Rhinolophus ferrumequinum: one gene and its partners. The protein of the gene in region 3 binds, or shares a complex with, the protein of the main gene of each other region. Links are inferred from orthologs where the notes say so. Each region holds a gene or a part of one and is shown on either strand. Other genes may lie near its edges. The genes, in order: CLXN, ODAD4 and ODAD1.

The links.
Region 1: ODAD1 (region 3) and CLXN share a complex: the UniProt entries of both Homo sapiens proteins name them as parts of the outer dynein arm-docking complex. The link is inferred for Rhinolophus ferrumequinum from reciprocal best matches to the Homo sapiens genes ODAD1 and CLXN.
Region 2: ODAD1 (region 3) and ODAD4 share a complex: the UniProt entries of both Homo sapiens proteins name them as parts of the outer dynein arm-docking complex. The link is inferred for Rhinolophus ferrumequinum from reciprocal best matches to the Homo sapiens genes ODAD1 and ODAD4.

What each region holds. Positions count from the first base shown.
Region 1 is NC_046297.1:29,220,666-29,228,447, forward strand, and holds the start of CLXN (calaxin), read right to left. Parts: upstream 3,121-7,782; 5' UTR 3,024-3,120; coding exon 2,966-3,023; intron 1-2,965. UniProt on the Homo sapiens protein: Component of the outer dynein arm-docking complex (ODA-DC) that mediates outer dynein arms (ODA) binding onto the doublet microtubule. Seems to regulate the assembly of both ODAs and their axonemal docking complex onto ciliary microtubules.
Region 2 is NC_046304.1:37,834,041-37,842,122, reverse strand, and holds the start of ODAD4 (outer dynein arm-docking complex subunit 4), read right to left. Parts: upstream 3,147-8,082; 5' UTR 2,958-3,146; coding exon 2,844-2,957; intron 1,142-2,843; coding exon 1,010-1,141; intron 756-1,009; coding exon 605-755; intron 1-604. UniProt on the Homo sapiens protein: Component of the outer dynein arm-docking complex (ODA-DC) that mediates outer dynein arms (ODA) binding onto the doublet microtubule. Plays an essential role for the assembly of ODA-DC and for the docking of ODA in ciliary axoneme.
Region 3 is NC_046298.1:43,909,667-43,917,607, forward strand, and holds the start of ODAD1 (outer dynein arm-docking complex subunit 1), read right to left. Parts: upstream 3,433-7,941; 5' UTR 2,698-3,432; exon of another isoform or gene 2,649-2,697; intron 2,426-2,648; exon of another isoform or gene 2,327-2,425; 5' UTR 2,270-2,326; intron 1,951-2,269; 5' UTR 1,906-1,950; coding exon 1,836-1,905; intron 1,345-1,835; exon of another isoform or gene 1,326-1,344; intron 950-1,325; exon of another isoform or gene 867-949; intron 630-866; coding exon 530-629; intron 372-529; coding exon 182-371; intron 1-181. Other genes in the region: EMP3 (epithelial membrane protein 3), read left to right, coding at 6,971-7,048, 7,290-7,392. UniProt on the Homo sapiens protein: Component of the outer dynein arm-docking complex (ODA-DC) that mediates outer dynein arms (ODA) binding onto the doublet microtubule. Involved in mediating assembly of both ODAs and their axonemal docking complex onto ciliary microtubules.

The DNA of each region.
Region 1 (7,782 bases), on a different chromosome or scaffold from region 3:
CATGAAGGTTGGTATTTACAAACACTGAGCTAATTATTTGTTTTCCAATCCCCAATTGAGGTATGTAAGTAGAAGGGTTATTGCTTAGCATTAAGAGCATTAAAGTGAGTTTAAATATGAATTATAGGTAAAAGATGGGGATGATTTTATTTCACAAAAAGACAAAATTGTGGTTGAATATTTTTAAAAACAAGGATGGAACCTGTGTGCATGTAAATGAAGACAGAACATAAGAAAGGAGAAATCACATCTAATCCTACTGACCAGAACAGGCTTGAGTACGATTTCTTATTTGGGGTACCACAATGTAAGAGGAACATTGAAAACTTTGGAAAGTAAATAAATTGATTAAATAGTAGACAAGAGTATAATGACTATAATTTTTAAAAGAGCTGTTAGTTGCTGTGGCAAATGGTATATCAGTTCCTCAAAAAATTAAACACAGAATACTATGTAATCCAGGGATTCCACTTCTGGTTATATGCCCAAAAGTATTGAAAGTGCGGGCTCAGATACTTGTACACCAGTGTTCACAGCAGCATTATTCACAGTAGCCAAAACGTGGAAGCAACCCAGGTGTTCATTGACAGATGAATGCATAAACAAAATTTGGTGTATATATACAATGAATATTATTCAGCCTTAAAAATGAAGGAAATTTTGATATATGCTACAACATGAATGAACCTTGAAGACATTATGATGAGAAAAATAAGTCAGACAAAAAAGGACAAATATTGCATGATTTCATTTACATGATGTACCTACAGTGGTGAAATTCATAGTGACAGGAAGTAGAATGGTGGTTGCCAGGGGTTGCTGGAAGGGGAAAATGGGGAGTTATAGTTTAATGGGTACAGAGTTTTAGTTGGGAGAGATGACAAGATCTGGAAATGGATGGTGGTAACAGCTGTGCAACAATGTAAATGTGCTGAATGCCATACAGTTGTACACTTAAAATGGTTAAAATAGTATATTTTATGTTATGTGTATTTAACCACAATTTTAAAAAGTTCTAAAAGTAAAAAGAGCTGTTACTGGTTGGGGAAGAAAAGCCTGCATGAAGAATGATGCACTCTATTCATATATATGAAATGCTAGCAAAGGGGATGTTGAATAGTCTTTTTCCATCTCGGCTGAAATAAAAATTAAAGAATATTAGCTTAATTATCCAAAGGATCCAAGGTTAACCATAAGAAAATTTTCTTGCTGAAATGTTTCTTAAATTCTAGAATACAATACTAAATGAAATTGAGGAAAATTCAAGAATGGCTTTTCATCTTTTTGGATGGGTTTCAGTTTGTTCTTTAGATCATATCTATAGAATGGTGGATTAACTAGATAATCACGTAAGATATTTTCTTCTTCTCTGATTCTATAAAATTTATCCATTTCATCCTAGTGGGATTGTCATTTGGCAACTAAGATATGACTTTAGGGGAAAGGTCCTCTGTTTAAAGAAATTTTAAATTATTTTAATGTCCATGACTTTCTATTCTATGTCTATAGAATTTAACTGGTAATCATCAAAGTTTTGAAGGCTCACTTTAAAACTTTTATGTAAGTATGAAAAGCATAAGTATGAAAAACTTTGATGTAAGTATGAAAAGCAGTATGACTGCTTTTCCTGCCATATTGTCACTTATCTTTTAATACACTCACTTTGATTGTTCACAGAATGTCTGTTGCAATATATTCCAAAGTTATTGAACAGGGACTAAATTAAATTCAGCATTGTGTATAGCAGTTATTGCATTGTGTATTCAAAATGTTTACTAGATATTTTAGAAAGGTCTGGTCTTTTCCCAGAAATGGAATTATTTTAAGAAAAACAACAATGGAACAAAACTCTCATCAGATTATAATAACAACAATGCCTTCAATTATAGGATGCCTTTTTTCCCCCTCAAAGTTTAAGATGCTTATACACACTATAACTTTCATTTACAGCACCACTCCACTAGAAGAGCATTTTTAACACTCATTGCATTAGATACTAAATATGATCAGAAGGCACTAGATACTGTAATCTCTAGAACTACATTAAAACATGTCTGTTCCTCCTTCTTTGCACAATGTTGGGGTGGTCTTGGGATTATGTTTCTCCTGTTTCTTCAAGTGGCCAGTAGTTTTGCAAGCAGCACACAATTTATGAACTTGCTCATGTGACAATATTTTCCTCATCTAAACCACATCCTTAGCTTCTCTGTCCAGGTACAGTTTTGGTATTCAGTCTGAATACCGTTCTATGAAAATCTAGGACCACATTTTAGAATATGCAATTGGAGCAGATGTCTTTAATCAGTGCTCATTTTGTCACTTGCAAAGTCTTCTTTACCTTGCAACCCCACCAGCAACTGGAAAGTGGAAGTCTACAGTTAGGAACAGATTCTTTACCACGTGTTTAGCTTTGGTGAGTTCTTTGGTTTCCAAACAAACCTCCTTGCTCTGATATAGGTTTCTTTCCTAAAGATGTTCAGATATTACTAACCATTTTCCCTATGGATTTCTTGGTAGGTGACCAGAACTTGTATCCTGCCAGTTTATTTGCTCTAGAGAGCTAGAACGCAGCTGTATATTGGTTGTGGTACTTTTCTTGAGTCCGTGGTTTTTAGCACTTATTCTAAAGGCTAAAACCACATGTGTCTCCTGGATACATAAACCAAGTTTCTATAATGTAAAGGTAAATTAAGAAGAGAGCTTGAAAAGTAAATGTACTTGTGGGAATGCACTACTAGATACCTGGACACCTGGATATGGGCTTTCAAGGTCATTGGCAAGCATGGGTGTCCGCCCCAAGGAGCTAACACCTGGGTATTTCTTTCCAGACTTCTTTTTAGGGGTGGGTATGGAGGGGGTTCAACTGGCAGTAAGGCTTGGAGGCGGAAAGCAGGTTGAGCAGTGGACATTGTCACCGGGTAGAACACCAGAGCCTCTGCTCATCCCACACGTGATTCTTACTTACAATGCTTGCAATTTTTAGTTAATGTGTCCGTCAACTTCTGCAGCTTCTTGCGATTCATGCCGGGACCTCAATGAATCGGGCTGTGGCAGTGTCTAGGGGAGCGCAGCTGCCGGGACCCTCCCGAGTACTGGGCCTGGGGCAACCAACCGGATCTCCACAGCTGAGTGCCTGCGCGGCGCCAACACACAGAGCAGCTATGGCAACTCCTCAGCGCGCCGTTGATTGGCTCCTGGGCGTGCGCGGGGTGTTTGCGTATCCCCAACATACTGCGTGGCCATGGCAACGGCTGGGCCGGCCGCCTATTGGCTCCTGGGGCGGGGGTAAGCATTCCCATTTGGAGGGTCCTGGCCAGGCACATTGCAGAAGTATGTTCTGATTGACGCTGGAGTTCTAACTTTCAGTTGTTGCTGTCTTTTGGTTTCACGGCCTCTTTCATGGACTGCACTGTGCATCATCAAGGTCTAAAAATACATCGTGAGTGCTGTGTGAATTATGTTTTTCGTGGTGGATGTTACACCAAGGGAAGCTTAAGATTGATCTTCAGGGAGATCTGGGGGAACTTGGAGGAGCTTCAAGAATTAGCAGGTGTGTTATCCAAACAATTGTTTTATCAGGTACAGGAGGGTGAGGAGCTTGCTATTAGGGCTGAGCTTCTCTTTTGGTTGTCAGTCCTTTTGCTATGACACCAGAAGGGAGTCTGAAACAAGATATATTTAAGTTTTGGGTGATGTTACTGTAAGCAAGAATAACTTGGAAGCTGTTGTATTTTTTGTTTGTTTTTTCCCTCCATTCATTCTTGGGGGTAGGGGTAGAGGCTGTCAGTGGAATCTGTGAAAAGCCACTGGCAATTTTTAAGCTAGTTAAAGAGAGATCCTCCTAAATAGACAGGCCACTTGGTCATGGGGTACAGTCCAATCTTGCTTTTCTGGAAAATATCCCAATAAAATTGATCCTTTACTTATTTGAAAGACAGGTCCTGTGACTGCAAACAAAGGATAGTTCTTACAACTTAAATGTGGGAGGAATTTCTGCTTTTTTTAACCACAGATCTAACATCCTCTTTGAATTAGGACAGCCATAGAAGGAGTTAGCTCAGCCAGGAGTACAAAACCTATAGTATTCTCTCATGTATTTACTTGTTTAACTTCAGAGGGGAAAATACCTTTGAATACAAATTACTTTATAGCTTACATATTGTCATCATTAGACTGAAAATAGAAAAAAAAATTGCCAACTGTGAAGAAATACAGAATGAAATATTTCCAGTGTTGAGGTCTCTGATTTTCTTTCCTGTTTCAATTGTTTGTTGAATGAAAGATTGAGATGGTGTTTGAAACTATAGTCAAAGATACTTGGTGAAGGCAGGGACAATATTATCCTAAAGCAAATTCCCTGAGAATAGTTAAGCAACGTGAAATGATAGTGATTATGAGTTTCCAACAGTTTTCTGGTTAAATAGTATTCCTCTATGCCCTCCTGTCTAGCAGCTGTGACATTTCTAATGAGATTGTAGAGAACAAATGGGAAGGAGTGGACATATTCTAATTATACTCACCTGTGAAACTCTAGTAGCTTTTTTTAGATTACAGAATTCTAGCAAATATTTAATTCATAGAGATTGTTACTAGTGCTCATTTCAAAAGACACGGAACCGAAAGAGTGGTTGTCACTAGTTAACAAGAGAAGCTGTGGGCTCCATATGCCTCTGCTGGTAGGTCTTTTAAGAAGCTCCCTCCTACTAGGTTTTCTGAAGGGACTTTCTGCTGGCATGTCTTGGGGAGCAGTACTCCACTGGTGGGGAGGACATTGATGGGCCTGTCCGGGCATCCCTGCAAACATCATACACTGGGAGCTTGTTGAGCACCTAGGGGTGAACTAATCAGTTCTTAATTCACAGGTTTCAAGCCTATGACCCATCAGCGATGTTCCCTTAAAGGGGAAAAAATGAAGTAAGGACAATACCACAGAAGGTTGAAATTAAAAGAGTCAAATCTGTTCTATCAGGCAAAAATTCCTTAACCTGCAAATAAAACATTGTGAGGTGCCCTCCTCCCATTCTTCCCTCTCTCCAAGTTCTTTTTTCCATGCTATTCTTTTAGCAGAAAATTTCCAAATACAATGTTATATGAAACTCACTTCTCTAAGAGAGTGGGCTACAGAGTTAACCTCCCTATAAGGTCTTGCAAATCCTTCTCAGGGAAAGAAAGATATTTATTAAGGACATGTTTTGTCAATATATTGGTAAATTTTACAGCATTCCTTACAATCTTATGACGTTTTTGAATTTAGTATTTTTAGACTTTAGCAACAAGCTATAGGCCTGATAAAGTTGGCCAATCTCATTTCAAGGCAAATTGAAATTTCTATTTGTAGTTTTTAATTGCTTGTGTTGAGAAGACACAGGATATCTTTCCCCTAAGGGCTCTTTCAGAGTAAGCAATTAAGCCAGAACAGTTACCTCATATCAAATCAATCAACAGTGGAATAATAAAATAAAAAAACTGTTTAATTTCTACTGTACACAAATTTTGCTGTGCATGAATTGATCATAGAACTTTCCAAAATTCAAACAACTTTGAGCTGGATACTTTTGTAAGTAAAACTAGTACCAAAAAAAGTACATAAAAGTGACTATTAATGCTATAAATGTTTCCTTTAATTTTGTGTGCAAAACAATATTCCCTTTGATTTATAATTAATTGGAATTTTACCATAAATAACTTTGACCTTGAATTGATGAAAGTGTTTTATTTAATGTAGACCTTTTATGATAAAGGTATTTGGAAGTGTTTAGGACATAACATCATAGAATTGATTTCCAAGTATATTACAAATCTATTATGAAATTACTTTAACAAAAGGAAAAATATAAAAGTTATACACATAATTTAAATTCAATGTTACCAATTTTATTTTGTAGAGATAGTGATGAGAAATCTGACGTGATTTTAGCCAACTATTTAGTAGTTGAATCTCCACTGCTCTCTTGCCACTTTCCCCTTTGGCTGTTATGCTGAAGTGACAAGCTGCTTTTAGTACCTCTAACCACCCAGTTGTCTCACTCCCAGACTTCTACATATTCTCCACCCATCCTCAAAGGCAACTATTCAAAGCATTTTTGACTTCCCTATATAAAGTGAATCCCTCCATACCCCATCATCTTTCTCTGCCTTTCTCACTCTCACTCACTCTCTTGGTACATTTAAGTCTTTTTGTATCTCTGTATCCATCACCTATCTTTCTCTACTTCTAAAGTTTGACAACACAATCCACTTTCTATTATCTGTGTTAGGGAGAGTGGTGGAAAAATCACCCGAGCAGAGATGATACCCAAGTTTCCTGCCCCCCCACAGCACCCCATTGTGGAGAACCCCTGTGAACATAACAGTGCCTTTAGATGGGGCTTCGTACTAAAGAAGAGCTTTTCCAAAAATATATCCTCAATATTCACTGGTGTTAACACATTTCTATATAATTTTTAAAACCATAATCTATTGACTGGTAAGTACAGTAATGCCTAAGGTTTACTAGAGATAGGGTTTTTATATCATACATGTAATTTACAAAGTTGTAAATTAAGATGTGGCAGGTGATAAGTAATATGGTGATGGCAATAATGTCAGTGGGTTGAGTAAGTAAGCTGCTCCTCCAGGTCTTGAGGAGCTCACCAAGAAATCCTGCAGAACCCACTGAGCTCCTCCCCATTCAGTACTGGGTCATGGGTGCCCAGAATTAGGTCATGGCAACTGCCCTATCTGCATAACTACCACAGGGGCAGTAGATACCTGTCCCTTTCCAAGGGAGCCCAGAGCACCTGCTAGCATTCTAACGCTAATCATAGCTCTCTGCAGCTGTCACACACCTTCTACACAGAACTGAACCAAGCTTATCCTCTCAGACCATGTCTGGAATTGCCCCCTGAGCCAACACTGAGCAGAAGAAGGCCTGTACCAGTCCAAATATTGAGACCACACTCTTATAACCACATTCCCCATTTCCATTGTTTTTGATTACTCAGAGGAACAGAAAGCTCTCAGAATTGCCTTTCTCCAATAAGCTTACCACCTTGTGAGACTATTTCTTAGTCTAGATCTCTCTAACCCCTTTTAACCATACACAACCAACTCCTTTTCAGTTGTGAACACTTACCTTACATGGTCCATCTTTGCACAAAGCCGTCTCTCCACCTTTCTTCTCTGAAATCTGCTTCTCCCCTGAAGATACTGCTTCTTCTGTAGCTGTTCAAAAGAAAAGGCTACCTATTTTCTCATACCTACTCACTCACAGCCTGAAGGAAGTCAAAACCCTCTTGATCTTGTGTCACCTTTTCAGTATATTAGCTTTATCTTTTCTTCTCATCTACCGTCTCACAAAGTGTGGTCATGTTCATTACCTCCACTGCTGCACCTCCTGTTTTATCCATTCTCTTTGCCCTTACCTAGCTCCTGCATCAGACTTCGTCCTCTGTCTCATGTTTTAAGCCATCCAAATGATTGCCAGTGATTTAGCTAAAACACAAACCCAGCCCTGTCTTCCTTCTGCTTGATATTTAAATGCCTTCTTGATGCCTGCAAGATAATATTTAAGCCTCACAGCATGGTTTCCACCATTTTCTAGGACCTGGCCTCTGCCTGGCTTGTAAGCCTCTTCTCTCACCAGCTCCTCTCCATTTAATAGCAGGAGCTCCAGCAGCCATCTTAGACTATAAGGTTCATTGGGGACTTGGAGCCCTTCAGAGTGGAAATGTAGACTAGAAGGTGCTATTTCTCATACAAATCCAGGCCCTCTGGGATAGGAATATGAACTAAGCTTCTGTC
Region 2 (8,082 bases), on a different chromosome or scaffold from region 3:
GGTAGAGGTTGTTGCAAAGCAGGCTCTGAGCCAGTCTGACAGGCAAATAAATGGTACAGGATGTTTGGAGCAATACTTCTGTAGGAGGTAGCAGCCCCCACGAGTCTAAGGCAGCCAGATCTCCAAACGAGGGGAGCTCTCTAACCCATGCCATTTCCATACTCTGCTGCCCTCTGACAAGCTCTGGCTCTCCTTCCTCCTCCCCACTGCCAATGAGCTGATAGGTAAGGCCAGCCCTTGGTGCACAGGCAGTCAGGGAGGAAGCCAGAGACTAGGGAGAGCTAGGCTCAGGACTCCATTCTATCCTATGACACCAGGCCAAAAATATATATATATAAAAAAATAGCTTGTGGTGAGGCAGCAGATGCCCATCTGGCTTTGAGGAGAACCAGACACTGCAGTGCTCAGACCAGTGGGTGGGGGATCGGTCCCCCCAGTGGACAGCTCCTAATCCTCAACAAAACCAGCAGCAGCCAAATCCAAGCATGGGACTCCCTGCAGGCCTCCTGCTGGGTGTTCACCCAAGGCATCTCAGGCCTTCCTCCAAACCTAAGGTATTCCAAGAGACTTCCTGGATAACAACATAGGCTCCATGGTCACTCACTTCCCACTGAGTTGTTGATGGCTTCCTGGGCTTTCTGAATTCCCACTTTGAATTCCCGATCAGGCCGCAGCTTATAGCCTCGATGATAGAACACCAAGGCAAACTCAAAGTCTCCCATGGTATACAGGGTCTCAGCCTTTTGCAAAATCCCCTGAAATGAGAGGAAGTCCAGTTGAGGTGGACAGATGAGACCTTACAGGACTCAGGTGTGGTGGAATAGAAGGGTCCTGGGTTGAGGGTCAAGGTTGGAATACAGAGGCAGGGATCTAGGCAAGTGACCTATGAAGAGAAAATGGCATCAAACTCTAAGCAGTCTGGCTAGTTCTTCTACCACTTCTAACCAGAGGCTGCTGCAGACAGTGGCAGCGGTGAAAGCAAGAAGGAGTCCTCCACCCATACAGTCACCTTGCAGAAAGTTGGGTCACTCTGGAGTGAAGCCTCAGCATCCTTCAGGGATTTCTCCAACTCTCCCATCTTCAGGAAGCACTTGGAGCGGGCAACCAGGCAGTTCTTATCTCCATTCTGAATGTGAAGAGCCTGAGAAAGGAACCACTCAGGTTGACAGGTACCAGGCAGGGTTAGGTAGAACTGGACTGGAAATAGCAGCCCAAACCCTCCTGCCAGAGTTTCAAGCGGACTCCTTGGGGCAGTATAAACAGGTCTTTGGATCTTATCAGACCAAAAGCAGCCCAATATCGATCTTTGCTTAGTCAACTGGATTATCTGTAAGTGGCTCATCTTGAACAAGGTCAAATCACAAGCTTTGTGGAAGCCACTCGTTGAGATATGAGAACATGCTACTCTGTGGACGTACTGAATTTCCCCGAGTGTCTGGGATTCCTGCAGTTCACTCAGACAATAGAGTACGTTTGGTGCACACCAAGTTCAACTACAAACCTGAAATAGCTGCACAACACACTCAAAATACAATCCAAAGGCTAAGCATTATGAAGGCTGACAAAACAGATTTTAGGACAATCTGCAACTTGAGTTAGCCATGCCACTAGCCCTCCTTTTACATAGTGTATGGAGAATGAATCACTATTTCAGGGGGTTAAGATGAGAATGCTAGCAAAACTGAAACTGATTTGGGCCCAAAAGTGGGAGCAGAATGCTTCCCTACTCCGCATGTCCTCTGTCCTCCTGTTTGAGATCATTACCACAGTCTGTGGAGCAGTGTCCTTCCTGACGCCTGGGCTGTATCGACCCCTTTCTAAGACCTCCCTTACCTTTCCAGGAAAAGAAAATAGCTACTTACTGTCATGGAAAAAGGCCACTTCTAAGCTATCTTCCCTCAGGGTGTTTTTTTCTCTCTGTCTGAGGTTCTCGGGATGGAACATAGAACATAATCCAGAGAGAGGGGAGTGGGTAGGGGCAGGGCTCCTAAACCCCAATTGTTGACTCATCTGGTCAGTCATTTCTGGTTTTAGTGTGGTGGATGATCTGAGGGATAAAAGACTCTGGGTAGCAATTGAGAAGCTTGACTTTAGCAAGAGTCTTGGGGCTGATAAGAGAGCTATTCTGCCACTCCAGTTGGAATAAGAAGCGAGCTATTTGTTGTAAAAGACATTGTTACATGAACATCTAATAGCTTACTTATGGAGAGTACAGTCCATGGTTTGCGTCTCAGCACTGGAGTCTGAGTGCCTGGGGTTGAATCTTGCCTCTGCCACTTGCTAGTTCAGTGATCTTGGGCATGTTACTCAATTTTATCAGTTTCCTTATCTATAAAGTTGAGCAATAGCAGTACTTCTCCCATAGGTTTGTAATGCGCTTACCAGTACGTAGTATCTTAAAACAGAACTCAATCACCTTAGGGTGGGGTGGAGCAATTTATACTAAGGTTATGTATAATGTTAGTTATTTACTGATCACCTTCCATGAGTAACTGTGTGCCAGACACTTCACTTCGTCAAGGAGTGTCCCACCCAATCTCCCTGCCAATGACAGGAAGTAGAGGCTGCTCTGTGGAAGAAGGCCAGCCAAGCACCAAACATTTGAGTAAAAAAGTAGAAGAGGTCATTGTTAATGCACAGAATGGTGGGTTATTAAGGATCAGGCAGAACGCAAGTGGGAATTGGAAGAAAATGGCTCGGGGGGGGGGGGGGGCTTATCTGTCACAGTGGTGCATCAATCAGGAACAAGTGAATAATAGAAATGATAGGGTCCTCCATGCATCATCAGGACCTCGGTTCAGAAATCCAAAGTGGTGATGGGTGACAGGTTCAGAGTGACTCACATTGCTGAAGCTAAGAGCGGCTTTAGAGAACTCCCCGCAGAGATAAAGCCGCTCGCCCTCCGCCATGTAAGAGGGAAAGGTGCTTCGCAAGACTTCAGTTTCTGGGTCCGACATGATGACGAGATTCAGAGACGCTGAAGTGGAGAAAGGTAGGAAAAGAAGCCAGAGAACCTCTGGTTTGTGGAAGCCCAGTCTCTTAGCAACCAGGAGACGTGACCTACTTCCGGTCCTGCTGCTCGATCGTGCGGGGGAGGGGAACAACCGCCGCCAGCGTGCGCTGGCAGCGGTGCCGCTAGAGCGTGTTGGATGGGTTTAAGGCGGCGGTGTTTCACAGTGTTGGCTGTTGCATGTTCCATTGATTCTCTCCGTAGTTGAATCTTGTGCAGAGTTTACAGCCAAGAAAATAGGAAGAGGATTGGGGGCAGAATTCCAAACAGGGATAAGGCGCATATGGCAAGGATATGTGCACCGCGTGTACCACCATCAGAGGGAGAGAGCACTGGGCTTGGAGCCGGAGTAGTACTTGGACAGTCTTCACTCCCTAATTGCGTGACTGTAGGCTGGCATGGAAGGGCTCTGAGCCTTTAATTTTCCAACTGCGAAGTGAACGTGAAGGTAATAAAACCTTCTGAATGTGAGAGTTTGCATGAGACAATGTGGAAAATAACGTTGGATTCAGCCTTCGATTTAACCCATTTAATGAGTGCCTGCTAGTGGCAGGCCTGGATCAACGTCTTTCCTGATATTTTCCCCTATCTCCTCCCAGCCTCAAAAAAAAAAAAAAAAAGGTGGAATAGGTTCTTCTAGGTTCCAAAACACCCTGCCTTTACTACATTACTTTTAAAACATGTGACCTATATTATGGCTGCTTGCAGAAGTGAAGTGTCAGGCACACAGTTGCTCATGGAAGGTGGTCAGTAAATAGCTAATATCGTTATACCTAACCTTAGCATAAATTGCTCCACCTCACCCTAAAGGAATTGAGTGCTGTTTTAGGATACCAGGCACACTGCTAAGCACAGTACAAGCCTATGGGAAAAGTACTGTTATTTCTTGATTTTATACATAAGGAAACTGATAAAGTTGGGTAACATGCCCAAGATCACTGAACTAGCAAGTAGCAGAGGAAAGATTGAATCCCATGCACTCAAACTCCAGTGCCAAGGTGCTAACCATCAGACCGTACTAAGGCAGGGAACTTGTATTTACAGAATTCAACTGTCTGGCAAGAGTAGGAGCTAAATAAATCATTGTTAAAGTTTAACTAGTAGTAAGGTATCCTTGACTACACGCACATATACACAACCATGAGTACATGTAGAACTCAGGGAATCTGAATAAGATTAGTGGATTGTGTCACTGTCAACTTTTGGTTGTGTTGTACTAAAGTTTTACAAGATGTTCCCATTGGGGGAAACTGGGTAAAGGGTACATGGGATCTCTTTGTATTATTTCTTACAACTGCATATGAACCTACAATTATCGTAAAATAAAAGGTTGAATTAAAAGAAGAATGCTTCTTTAATACCAAGATAAACAAATAACATGGTTCCTTCCCTGGAAGGGTTCTGTCTAATTAGGGAGAGAGATGCATGAACAGTAATGACGATCTAACGTGGTATTAAGTTACTCAAAGTTCTGTGTGCCTGTGAGGGACATGAGGACAGAGTGGTGTGAGGCTCAGAATGCTCCAGTTAGGATTTGGGATGCGTCAGACACAGCTTCACAGATGGGGTAACATTTGAGCTGAGTGTGAATAGGGTGGGCGCTGAAAGACCTAAGTAGACAAGGAGGTGAGCGAAGGTCAGACGTGTGTAAGTTCGTTCATAAGGCATGTAAGGAGCAGTGGAGTGAAATGCACTGGAGTGAAATGTGTCCTGTTCTAGGTTGTTAAGAGGGGTGCATAGGTTAGTTGAACACACTGCTGAAGTGACCAGCAGTTAATTGGGAAAAAAAAAAAAAAACACTGCAAAGAGAAAAGCTATAGATCCAATGCAATCCCAGTGAAAATCCCAGCAGACGTTTTTTTTTTTAATAATTGACAAGCTGATTCTAAAATTTATGTAAAAATGCAAAGTACTGACATAGAATAGCCAAAACAATTTTGAAAAAGGACAAAGAGAAGGTATACTCTCTGCTTTCAAGACTTATTGTAAAACTACAGTAATGGTATTAGCATAAAGATCAACATATAGGTCAGTGGAACAGAATAGAGAGTCCAGAAATACATTTACATGTATATGATCAATTAATGTTGAGCAAAGTCACCAAGGAAATTCAATAGGGAAATTCAATTTTGTCAACAAATAAATGGTGCTGGAGTAATTGGATAGCCATATGCCAAAACAAAACAAACAAATGAAAATACCTTGACCTTTACTTCACATCATATACAAAAATTAACTCAAAAGACTTAAATGTAAGGGGTAAAATTACAAAACTAGGTGAAAATATTAGGGCACGGGAAACACGAAAAATTAAAAAGGGTGATGTCATCAAAATTAAAATTCATTGCTCTTCAAGAGACAGTGTTAAGAAAATTAAAAGGCAAGCCATAGATTGGGGGTAAAATATTTGCAAAACATGTATCTGACAAAGAACGTGTGTCTATAATACATAAAAAGCTCTTACAACTAAAATAAGACAGGTAACTCAAATTTTAAAAATGACCAAATGATTGAACAGTTACTTCATCAAAGAAGATATATAGATGCCAATGAACACAGGAAAGATTCTGACATCATTAGCATTAGGAAAATACAAATTACAAGCCACAGTGAGACACCACTACTCATGCATTAGAATGGTTAAAATAAATAAAAAACTGACCTCATCAGCAGCTGGCAAGGATGTTGAGCAACTGGAACTCTCATACACTGTTGACTATAGCCACTTGGGAAACAGTTTGGCAGCTTCTTAAAAAGTTAAACATATGTCCCAGGCATTTTACTCCTAGGAATTTATCCAACAGAAATCAAACCTGTATGGGAATATTGCTACCGGTAGCAGCTTTATCTGTCATAGCCCTAAACTGCAAACATATCTGTTGAACAGGTGAATGGATGAAAAAATTGTTATATATCCGTATAATGGATACTATTCAGCAATAAAAAGGAAAGAACTATTGATACATGCATAATATGAATAAATCTCAAAATAATTATGCTGACTGAAAGAATTCAGACAAAAAGGACCATATTATTCCCTTTATGTAAAATTCTAGGAAATGCAAACTTAATCTTTATTACCCCAAAGCAAATGGTGCCTCTTGAGAACATGGCAATAGGGCAGGGCAGGAAAGAATATAAAGGAGTAAAAGGAGACTAGGAGGTGTAAGGTCTGTACATCATCTTGATTCTGGTAATGTTTTCATGATGTATCCATGCATTAAAACTCATCAAATTGTATAGTTTGAATATGTAGTTTATTGTACATCAATATACATTGATAAACTGTTTTTTAAAAAACAATGAAATAACAATAATAATGTGTGCTTTTGCAGTGTATAAAGCACTTGTAATCTTCACCACACTCGAGTGAGGACGGGAGTCAGGCAGTGTTTTTCTGGTTTCACTAAGGCTGAGAGAGGTGTCAGGGTTTGCCCTAAGCCACACAGCACCAGGATATAGGTGATCTGAGCTGGGACCCATGCCTTGGGTTGGATTGGTAGGGTAAAAAGCTCTGGAATTGGATCTGAGCCTATCCCAGCTGGCTCTTTATGTTACACTCTTTGTATCTTTTTTACTGCTGAAGTGGACCACAGGTTACAGAAACACACATAAAAATCACATGTACAATTTAATACATAATTATAAAATGAACACCCATGTAATCATCATACAGGTAAGTCAAGAAACATATTGTCGGGGGCAGCTGGTTTAGCCCAGTTGGTTAGAGCGCGGTGCTCTTAAACAGCAAGGTTGCTGGTTCAATCCCCACATGGGCCAGTGGTGAGCTGCGCCCTCCACAACTAGATTGAAACAACTACTTGACTTGGAGCTGATGGGTCCTGGAAAAACACACTTAAAATAAATTAAAATTTTTTTAAAAAAGAAACATATTGTCAACAGAGGCTCTTCCTGTGAGGCCTCCCCAAATCACAGCCCCAGCCCAGCACCGCCACCTCCCTCCCCAGGCAACCACCCCCCCTCCTGGTTACCACCCTTGGTCTGAGCCCCCATCATCTCTCTCTGGAATTCCCTCCATATGCTTTTAACTAGATCTCCTTGTTCCACCCTTACCTCCTTCCTCCACCACACAGCAGTCAGAATTATTCCATGTAAAATGCAAGTCAGATCATGTCATTCTGTTCAAAACCTTGCAATGGTCCCCCATTCACTCAAAATAAAAGCTGCTCTCCCCATCATCTGTCCTCCAGCCACCTTACCTCGTTGAAGAGGAAAAGGGCAGAAAACTCCTCCCTAGGGCCTTTGCTCTGGGTGTTCTCTCAGCCCCAAATGGCCTGGAATTGGCCTGGAACGCTCCTTCTCAGCCACTTAACTGACCCTCTCCCCTCCTTCATGTATTTTGCTCAAATCCTTTGCAATGAGGCTACCCTGACCACCCTATTTAAAACTGCAACCCACTTGCCTTTTATCTTCCATTCGGGAATTCCTGATCCCCTACTCTGCTGTTTTTTATGTAACACAAACTTTCTGATACACTAAATAACTTCCTTATTTATTTTATGGATTGGTTATTGCTACTGGTTATGGATTGGTAAGCTACTCATGGGTGAGCATATTTCCTTATTTCATTCAACTTTTTTGCTCCAGTGCCCAGAATAGTAACTGGCACATTGCAGGTACTCAGCAAATACGTGTTGAATGAAAGAACCATGGTCCAGTTCTTTGTGATAATCATTGCCTTGCTTTTCTTGTAGTTTTTCCACCTGTGTATCCATTCTAAGTAATATAATTTAGGTTTGGTTTTTTAACTCTATGTAAATTGTGAATTGAATCATACTATATATTTTCTATGTTCCACTTTCTTTTACTCAACATCAGCGTTTTGTTTTTGGGTGTTTTTTTTTTCTGGCGTCCCCTTCTTACCCACCACTTTCCTCCCCACCCCATGGGGTGCTGCCAGTTCAGCACAATAGTACATTCTGTGTCCAAGAGCCCCTGCTGGCTGCGGCCAGGCAGCTTTTTGCTGCCCCTCCAGACAATGGCAGAGCCCAAAAGGCCTGATAGCCGGTGACAAATGTATGTGAATGACCAGCTCATAGGAAGTGGCCTTC
Region 3 (7,941 bases):
AGCCCCCCTTTTGAATGTGTGGGATTGTGCTCAGCACTAAACACCCACATTCTGGAGCCTGGGCACCCCAATGCCAGGCGATGCTTTCAATAACCCCATTTTTCATATGAGGAAGCTAAGTCTCAAAGCAATTACGACACTTGCCCCTAAGCAAGATCCAGAGTCTGGTCTCAGAACCCACCTGCCTGTCCAGGGTCCTGGCCTGCTCCTGCAGCTCCTTGACCTCGGCCTGCACCTGGGCCTGGCACTTCAGCAAGCGGCCCATGTTCTTCAGCCTCTCATTGTCCTGCAGCCGCTTGACCTGGCTCTGGGCGACGCTGATCTGCACCTGAAGTTTGTCCCGCACCTCCTCTAGGCGGTGGATCTCCTCACTGCCCAGGCAGGGAGGAGGAGGGGAGGCCAGCAAGGGGCAAAGGTCAGCATCACTAAAGGCCAGATACACTGGGCCTGCCCCAGCTTCAGACCCGAGTCTGACCCCCAACCCTTCAACAGCCCCCTTCCAGTTCTGAGACCCAGGCACTCGGCTCACAGTTGCTTATTGATGCGCTGGTGGACTTCCTTGCTGTAGGCCCGCCTTTCACCCTCCATCACTTTGCACTGCCGCAGCAATCTGCTCAGCTCCCAGTCCACTGAAGGACAGACCAGGCAAGGGACTCAATAGGAATCCAGGCCCAGCCCCTTCCTCCCTAGGACCTAGGTAGGAATCCTAGCTCCCTTAGGGTCTCACAAGCTGCAACTGAACTGCAGACCCAGTCCCCAACACCCCTCTAGGACTGCCTCAAACTTCCTCATCCCTTAGCAAGGTACCCCTTGCTAACCTTGAGATTTCCTCCCTAAAACCCACTCCTTCTCCGGTTTGGGCATACATCTGTTTCCCCACTAGAGGGCGCTCCTGGAGGGCCTCATGGTCCTCAAGGATCCACTGCACAGGACCTGGAACTTGGGAAAGCTGAAGACAGGGGACCAAATCAGCAGTCTTGCTCCCTCCTTCCCCCTCACCCCCAGCTGCTGAGCCATCCTCAGTCCCACCCTCCTGCTCCTCACTCTCAGGCCCTCTCCTAGGCTGAGGCTTCATCCACTCTTGCCTGGACTATCACTCCAGCCTTCTCCCCAACCTCCCAGCCTCCCCTCACAGCCCCAGGGGCTCCTTCTACACTCGGAGCGGACTCTGGCCCTTCCCGGCTCCCAGGCCTTCCCTGGCGCCCCAGCGCCCCCAGGACAGTCTCAACTCCTCAGCCTGGTGTTCAATGCCCTGTAGGACCTGACTATCCACTTCTCCAAGTCTCCACCAGCTCCCCACCTCCCACAGCCCAATGGTTCTCAACCTGGAGCTATTCTATCCCCCATGAGCATCTGGCATTGTCTGGAGGCATTTTTGGTTGTCACAATGTGGGGCAGGTAGCGGAGGTGCAGAGGGTGCTACTGGCCTGTAGTAGGTAGAGGCCAGGGATGCTGTTAGATATCCTACAAGGCACAGAACAGTCCCCATAACAAAGGATTACCTGACCCCCACGTGTCAACAGTGCGGAGATTGACAAACCCTGCTCTAGCCACGTGCTGTTCTCTCTGTTGAAACACTCTCCCCTTTCTTTACCCCTTGGTGATTCCAGGGAGGAGTTCTGGGCCCCACTCAAGCTTGTCCTGCAGTAAGTCTTGGCCCACCCATATGCCTCCCTCCACGTCCATTCCCACACTTGTGCTCCCCACTAGAAGGCTCTCCTAGAAGACCACCTTGTTCCCATGGCTCTGAAGCACAGGACCTGGAATTGGGAACCCTGACAAAAAGAATGAGATAAAGAAAAAGAATGAGTGAAATAAAAGATCGTATGAATTACCCATTCCCTCGAGGTAGGCCTCGCTGCCATTCTCGGAGCGGTTGTTCCCTGCAGAGAATCCTGAAGGCATCTTTCCCAAAGAGGGTGGGACTCCTGCAGCGGTAACACAGGACCCCTTCAGACAGCAAGCAGGAGAGGGCGGGGAGGAGGTGGGCAATGCACAGAGGGATTAGGAATTGGAAGACGACCCCAAAATCAGCTCTGGCCTCTCTCTGAGTCTCAATTCCCCCAATGGGTTGGAGGGGGGACACTTCTCTGGCCTCTCCCCACACTCCTTCCAACCTCCCACCTCTCACATTCTCTGTCTTGCATCTTGGCTCTGATTCTGGCGCGGGGGGACAGGTCCCTTAGGCTCTCGGTATCTCTGAAGGGGGCGGTTTGGGGAAGGGATCACAGAGGAAGGACCGCTGTAGGGAACGAGGCCCCTTCCCTACCTGCTGGAGTGCTTGCCCTGTCCTTGGCGCTCCTAGCTCACTGTTGTGGTCTGGTTACTGGGGAGATAAGGGGAGGGATCGAGGCCGCGAAGAGAGGCTGTGGGAGGGGAGGCTGGGGAGGAGTGGCGGAGGCGGCGGCGAGAATACCTGCTCGGATCCCCGCCCCCACCCCCACCCCCACCACCAGCCCCCCCCCCCGGCTTTAAACAGAACTGTTGGGGAGCCCTGTGAGGGGTGGGGCTGTGGCCCTATAAGGGGCGGGACTAGAAGGGCCCGCTATAATCCGGCCTTCGAGGTTTGCGAGGGAAGGGCTCGGAGATCTGTAAAGGGCGGAGCCGGAAGGGTCTGTGAGGTTTGGGGCTGGGGAAATCACCGGTACCTGTGAAGGGCGGGGCTGCGGGGACTCTCGAGGGGAGGAGCACGGATACCTGAGGAGGGCGGGGTTTCTTGGGCCAAGGAGGGGCGTGGCTGGAAGAGCGCGTGAGGAGTCCGCTGGGAGGGCGCTGGAAGGACCGTGGTTCCCAAGACTTGTGGGGGCGGGGCTAACCAGGAGGCACTCTAGCTGGAAAGGCCTGCGGGCGGTCGGGAGGGGCTGCAAGGGGAACACGGGCCTGCGAGGATCGGGCTGTGTTTCCGGGAATTGGAGGCAAGGTTGAGAGCAAAACATCTGGAAGACCGAGGTCCTTCGGGAAGGGCCGGAGAGAAGCGTATCTTAGGACCACGTTATTTTGAGGCTTCATTAGCAGGAAGGCGGTGCCGGCGCCGGGACTTGTGAGGGGGAGTAATGCTCACCACCGCCTCAGGTCCTCCCAGCACCTCACTACGCATGCGCGGCCAACGGCCTCTTAAGGCACGAAAAATCCCTTCGCTGCCCACGGAGTCCGCAGACTGAGAGGCGGAAGTGGGCGGGGCACCCGGCTCCTCGCACCGCCCCCGCCTTCCGGTCACGCCCCTGTCTGACCACACCTCCTCGCCCCTTTAGTGGTCGGCTGCTGCCCACTTGGGCCTCCCCGGAGTCGGCGGGCAGTAGGCGCTCCTCCCTGCAGGCTGGGTGTGCCCAACGCCTGTGGTTTCCTGTGGGAGGAAACCGCCCGCGAGGCGCTCCGCTAAGCTCGTAGCGTTGGAGGCCCAAGAAGGGGAGATCCCACCTCTGCTCTCGGGGCCTCTGATGCTCCGCCATCACAGGGCCCTAAATGGGAGACCCCCCTGAACATCCCCAGGGTACGAATACCAGGGCGCTAATACCACTCAGGGAACTTGATTCAGAGTCCTGCTCTCCTATTCTCCACCTACCCCGCTCAAATTTCCATCTCCCTAACCTAGACTCCTCCGCGGATCAGTTAGGGGAGGGGGGCTGGCCTCCCTTTGCCTGCACTCCCTGAAAAGCAGTGACCCTCTAGTCCCTAGTTTTTCCTTCTGTGACCCAGACTTTCTATCTTCCTTGGGGTTCTGAGTCTAGACCCCCAGCTTCTGTCCTGCTCAAAGACTTAAGTTTGTGACTACCCACATACTCCCCAAAACAGGGACTCTCATTTTGTACTCCCAACTTTTTAGTCTTGGGACCCAATGGACCGAAGAATTTGCCCCTTCCCCAAATCCTAGAGACCTTAATCTAGGGTCCCCCAGTACAGAACCCACCCAGGGCCCCAATGCCTAGTATAACTAGCACATACAGCAGTGCTTACGCTGTACGAGGCACTACTCAACTTCCCTGATGCGTTCACTATTATTATCCCTATTTTACAGATAGAGAAAATGAACCATAGAGAGATTATTAGTAACTTGCCCCAAATCAGAGTAAAGCAGCTTGGATTTGAATCCAGCCAGTGTGTCTCTAGCTTTTGTGCTATAGGTACCCCAGCTTTCTGGTCTTCGTAAGTACCCACCCAGTCACTAAACTGCCTATTCCTCACCCCCTCTGGGAATCCACATAACCAACCATTCTCCCGCCCCCAGCTCTGGGACCATCAGATACCCAGACTTGCCATGGTCCAGTTCCCTTCCTTTGCAGGGACCCAGAATTTTAGTCTGCCAGCTCTCAGATTCCATATCAGGACCCCAGACACCTGGTCCCCTGTCCCTCACTATTCACCAGCATTCAGCTCTTCCAAGAAACCCAGGTACATACTAGTCATCACCCCCCACCCTAATTCAATAACCCCCAAATTGACAATAATAATAGTTAACATTAGATCCCTGGTACTGTACTTCTGTTTAAAACCTTCCAATGGCTTCCCACTGCACTTAGAATAAATTAGTCCAAACTCCTCCCCTAGTCTTCAAGGGCCCTCTTTGATTTCCCTTCCTTCCACTCCTTCTAACTCCCTGTATTCCAGCCACACTGGCCCTTCTGTCTGCTCTCCAAACAACCTGAGTTTGTTCTCAAGAGCCTTTGCACGAGGTTCCTCTTCCCTGTCTTCAGGTCTCAGCTCAGATATCACTCCTCTGAGAGGCCTAGTCTGACTACTCCGTTTAAAGTAGGTTCCACACACACACACTCACTATCTCTGTCACTCTGTTTTGTTTCTTTCAAGGCCCTTATCGCTATCTGAAATTTGTCTTCTTCATTGATATGTTTTCTCTTTATTCTGTCTCCCTCTACTAGGTAGGTAAGCTCCACAGTAACAGTAGGGTCACATTCTGTTTTCTTTATTATTAACTCCTATTTAATAGATGTTCAATAAATGTCTGATGAAGAAAGAACTGAATGTGTTAAGTGTGTTAATGTACTGGTATTACCTTATTCATTTAGAATAAGTATCAGACTTATTATTATCAGTATTAGTATATTGTCATTATTCGTATTATTATACCCACCTCACAAATTAGGAAACTGAGGCTCAGTAAGTTGACAGAATTGGTCAAGGTTCCCAGGGCAGGAAATACTGGCGCTGGGATTCTTAACTTCCACCTCCTGCCCCCTTTAGAGTTCACACTTCCCCATTTCCCATCCACTGACACCCACCATGGTACCAATTTCACCAGTCTTCAGCCTACTCCACATGGCAGGAATCTGGCCTCCTCCCTCAGACTCTCATCCCTGAGTATCCAGTCCTAAACCCCATCAAGGAATGCAGACATCAGACCCCAGGTCCCAGGACAAGACCCAGAGCAGAGGCCTGAGACTTGGACCCTCCCACCCCGATGCTTGCCCCACCCCAGGGTACTGCTCTGCTCTGTTCCCTCCAAGGACTTCTCATCTCAACCCTGGGAGGAAAACGCAGAAACGATACGTGTCTGGGGGCAGTGGGCGGGGGCTCAAAGAATGAAGAACCCAAGTGCCTGGGCCCTCCCTCTAGCTGCAGACCTCAGCTGGGTGCGGTGAGGGTGGGTATAAAAGGGTCAGTATATATTCAGAGGAACAGAGGAAGAAAAACCAGGAAAGTGAGAAGAGTGAAAGACAGGGGAATAGGACAGGAGAGAGAGACAAGAGGTAGAAGAAAGAGAGAGGAAGGAAGGGAGAGAGGGAGGGAGGGAGAGAAAAGGGTGGAAGGGGAAGAGGGGGAGAGGGGAAGGGAGAGAGAGAGGGAGAAGGAAAGGGAGAGGGAGAAGGAGAGGGAGAAAGAGAGGGAGAGGGAGAGGGAGAGGGAGAAAGAGAGGGAGAGGGAGAAAGAGAAAGAGAGAAAGGGTTCCAGGATTGGAAGGGAGAAGGACTGAGAGGGCCAGAGAGGAGAGTGCGGGAGGGAGGAAGGCAGCGAGGGAGGCGGGGGCCTCGAGAGGGTGGAAGGAGGGAGGAGAAGGGCGGGGCACGGAGGCCCAAGCGAGGAACAGACTCCAACTCTGACTTTTTCCGCTGCTCTCGGTAAGTTTCCAGTCCGTTATCCGAACTGGGATTTCTTTATTTACTTGGGAGTGCAGCTGTTTGGGAAGGACACCCCTATGGAAATCCTTGTAATTTCAGAAGTGATCTCTTAGCACTTGGGTGGGGATTCAGGAAGGGGTGGGGCCCGGCAAAGTTTGGGGGTTCCCAACAGAGCCCTCCACCTGAAAATATCCTGTAGTTTTCCCCCACAGCTGTCCACTCTCCCTTGAGAACCCGGAGATCAGGGCTTTGCATGAGAACACCCGAAGTCTGGGGAACCTCCAGGCCCCTTCCCCTTCTGTTCACTGAAGGGTAGTAGGAGGCTGGCTCCTTCTCAGGCCTCTCTCCTCCCAACAGGCATCTCATCCATTTTTGCCACAAGGTGCCCAGCAGGCACAAGTCTGGCAGCAGGGTGGGGTGGGGATCTCGTGGGCAGCCAGGGGCTGGGGTTTCCCTGGTACTTGGAGTCAAGAGTGGGATGAGTCACCAATGACTCACCCCATCTTCCTCACCCCCCCTCACCCTAGGAGAGGGGTGGGGTGAGTCAAGGATGCCTGTCTCTGGGGACAGCCCTTAGCTTCTGATGAATCTGGAGGGGTGTCCACTTGAATTTTCAGAGCCTGATCCATATGCACCCAGGGATAGGACTCTGAGGAGATGCTAGTCCTCTGAGACATTGCTAGTCCTACTCATTCCTGGACCCAAGAGTCCATCCCTGACCCTCTCCAGCCCCTGGGGAATTCAGGAGTCCGGGCCCTCAGCCCCCTCCTCCCTCCAACCCAGGAGTCTGGACTCAGCCCCCATTCTCCAAGAGGATTCGGGCATCTCACCTGCCCCTGTGCCAACCTCTTGAAACGACCATATCCTGATGTCCCCTACCCCAGGCTTCCACTGCAGCCATGTCACTCCTCCTGCTGGTGGTCTCTGCCCTTCACATCCTCATTCTCATCCTGCTTTTCGTGGCCACTTTGGACAAGGTAAGCCCATGGAGCAGCAGCAACAGGGCCTCCGCTCTCCTGCAGACTCCCCACACGCCCCTCCTCTAAAGTCACTCCAGCCCGACCCCTTTCCCCTGCCATCTACCCCTCTCAGCTCTGCCTCTGATGCCCTGACCTCCTCCCCCTTTCCTGCTAAACCCTTTTCCTCACCCTTCCCACAGACTCCCTGACCACTCCCACTTTCCTCTCATATCCCTACCCGTTTCTCTGTCCATGCCAGTCCTGGTGGACCCTCCCAGGGAAGGAGTCCCTGAATCTCTGGTATGACTGCATGTGGACCAATGACAACAAAACGTGGACCTGCATTAATGTCAGCGAGAATGGTGAGGGGCATTGGGGACTGGTCTGCAAAGGGGAGGGGTAACCCCAAGTCTCCTCCTGGGACCAAGGATTGGGACTCTGCCAAGGTTTGAGTTGGCAGATCTGGGTCTCAATGCTGAGTGAGTAGGACTGATGTATGACCCACCTATCTTGGTGGTGGGCAGCAATATGCTCCTATTCTAAAGAGTATGAGCTAAAAGCCCTCCTCCCTTATGGTCCAGAAAGAGTGGAGGCCACATTCTATAGGCTTAAGGAATGAGGAGAAAGCTCCCAAGATTCTGAGAAGATAGGATTATGTGTCCAAAGTTCTAAGGAGATAGAACTGGTGTTCCGAATGAAAGACTGCGACCAAGTTGTCCAAGTTCCAAGGGGGTGGGGCTGGAATCACATTGAATTTCTAAAGAGATGGGGTTGAATCCTTTCAAGGTTCTAAAGGAGGGGTGAGGGTGACAGATGCATCTGAGTTCTAGAGGGGAGGAGTTGCGTCCATCGAAATGTCTGAGTGGGAGAAGGTGAAACATGAAATGCTTTTCCCCTAAGAGTGAAACAAC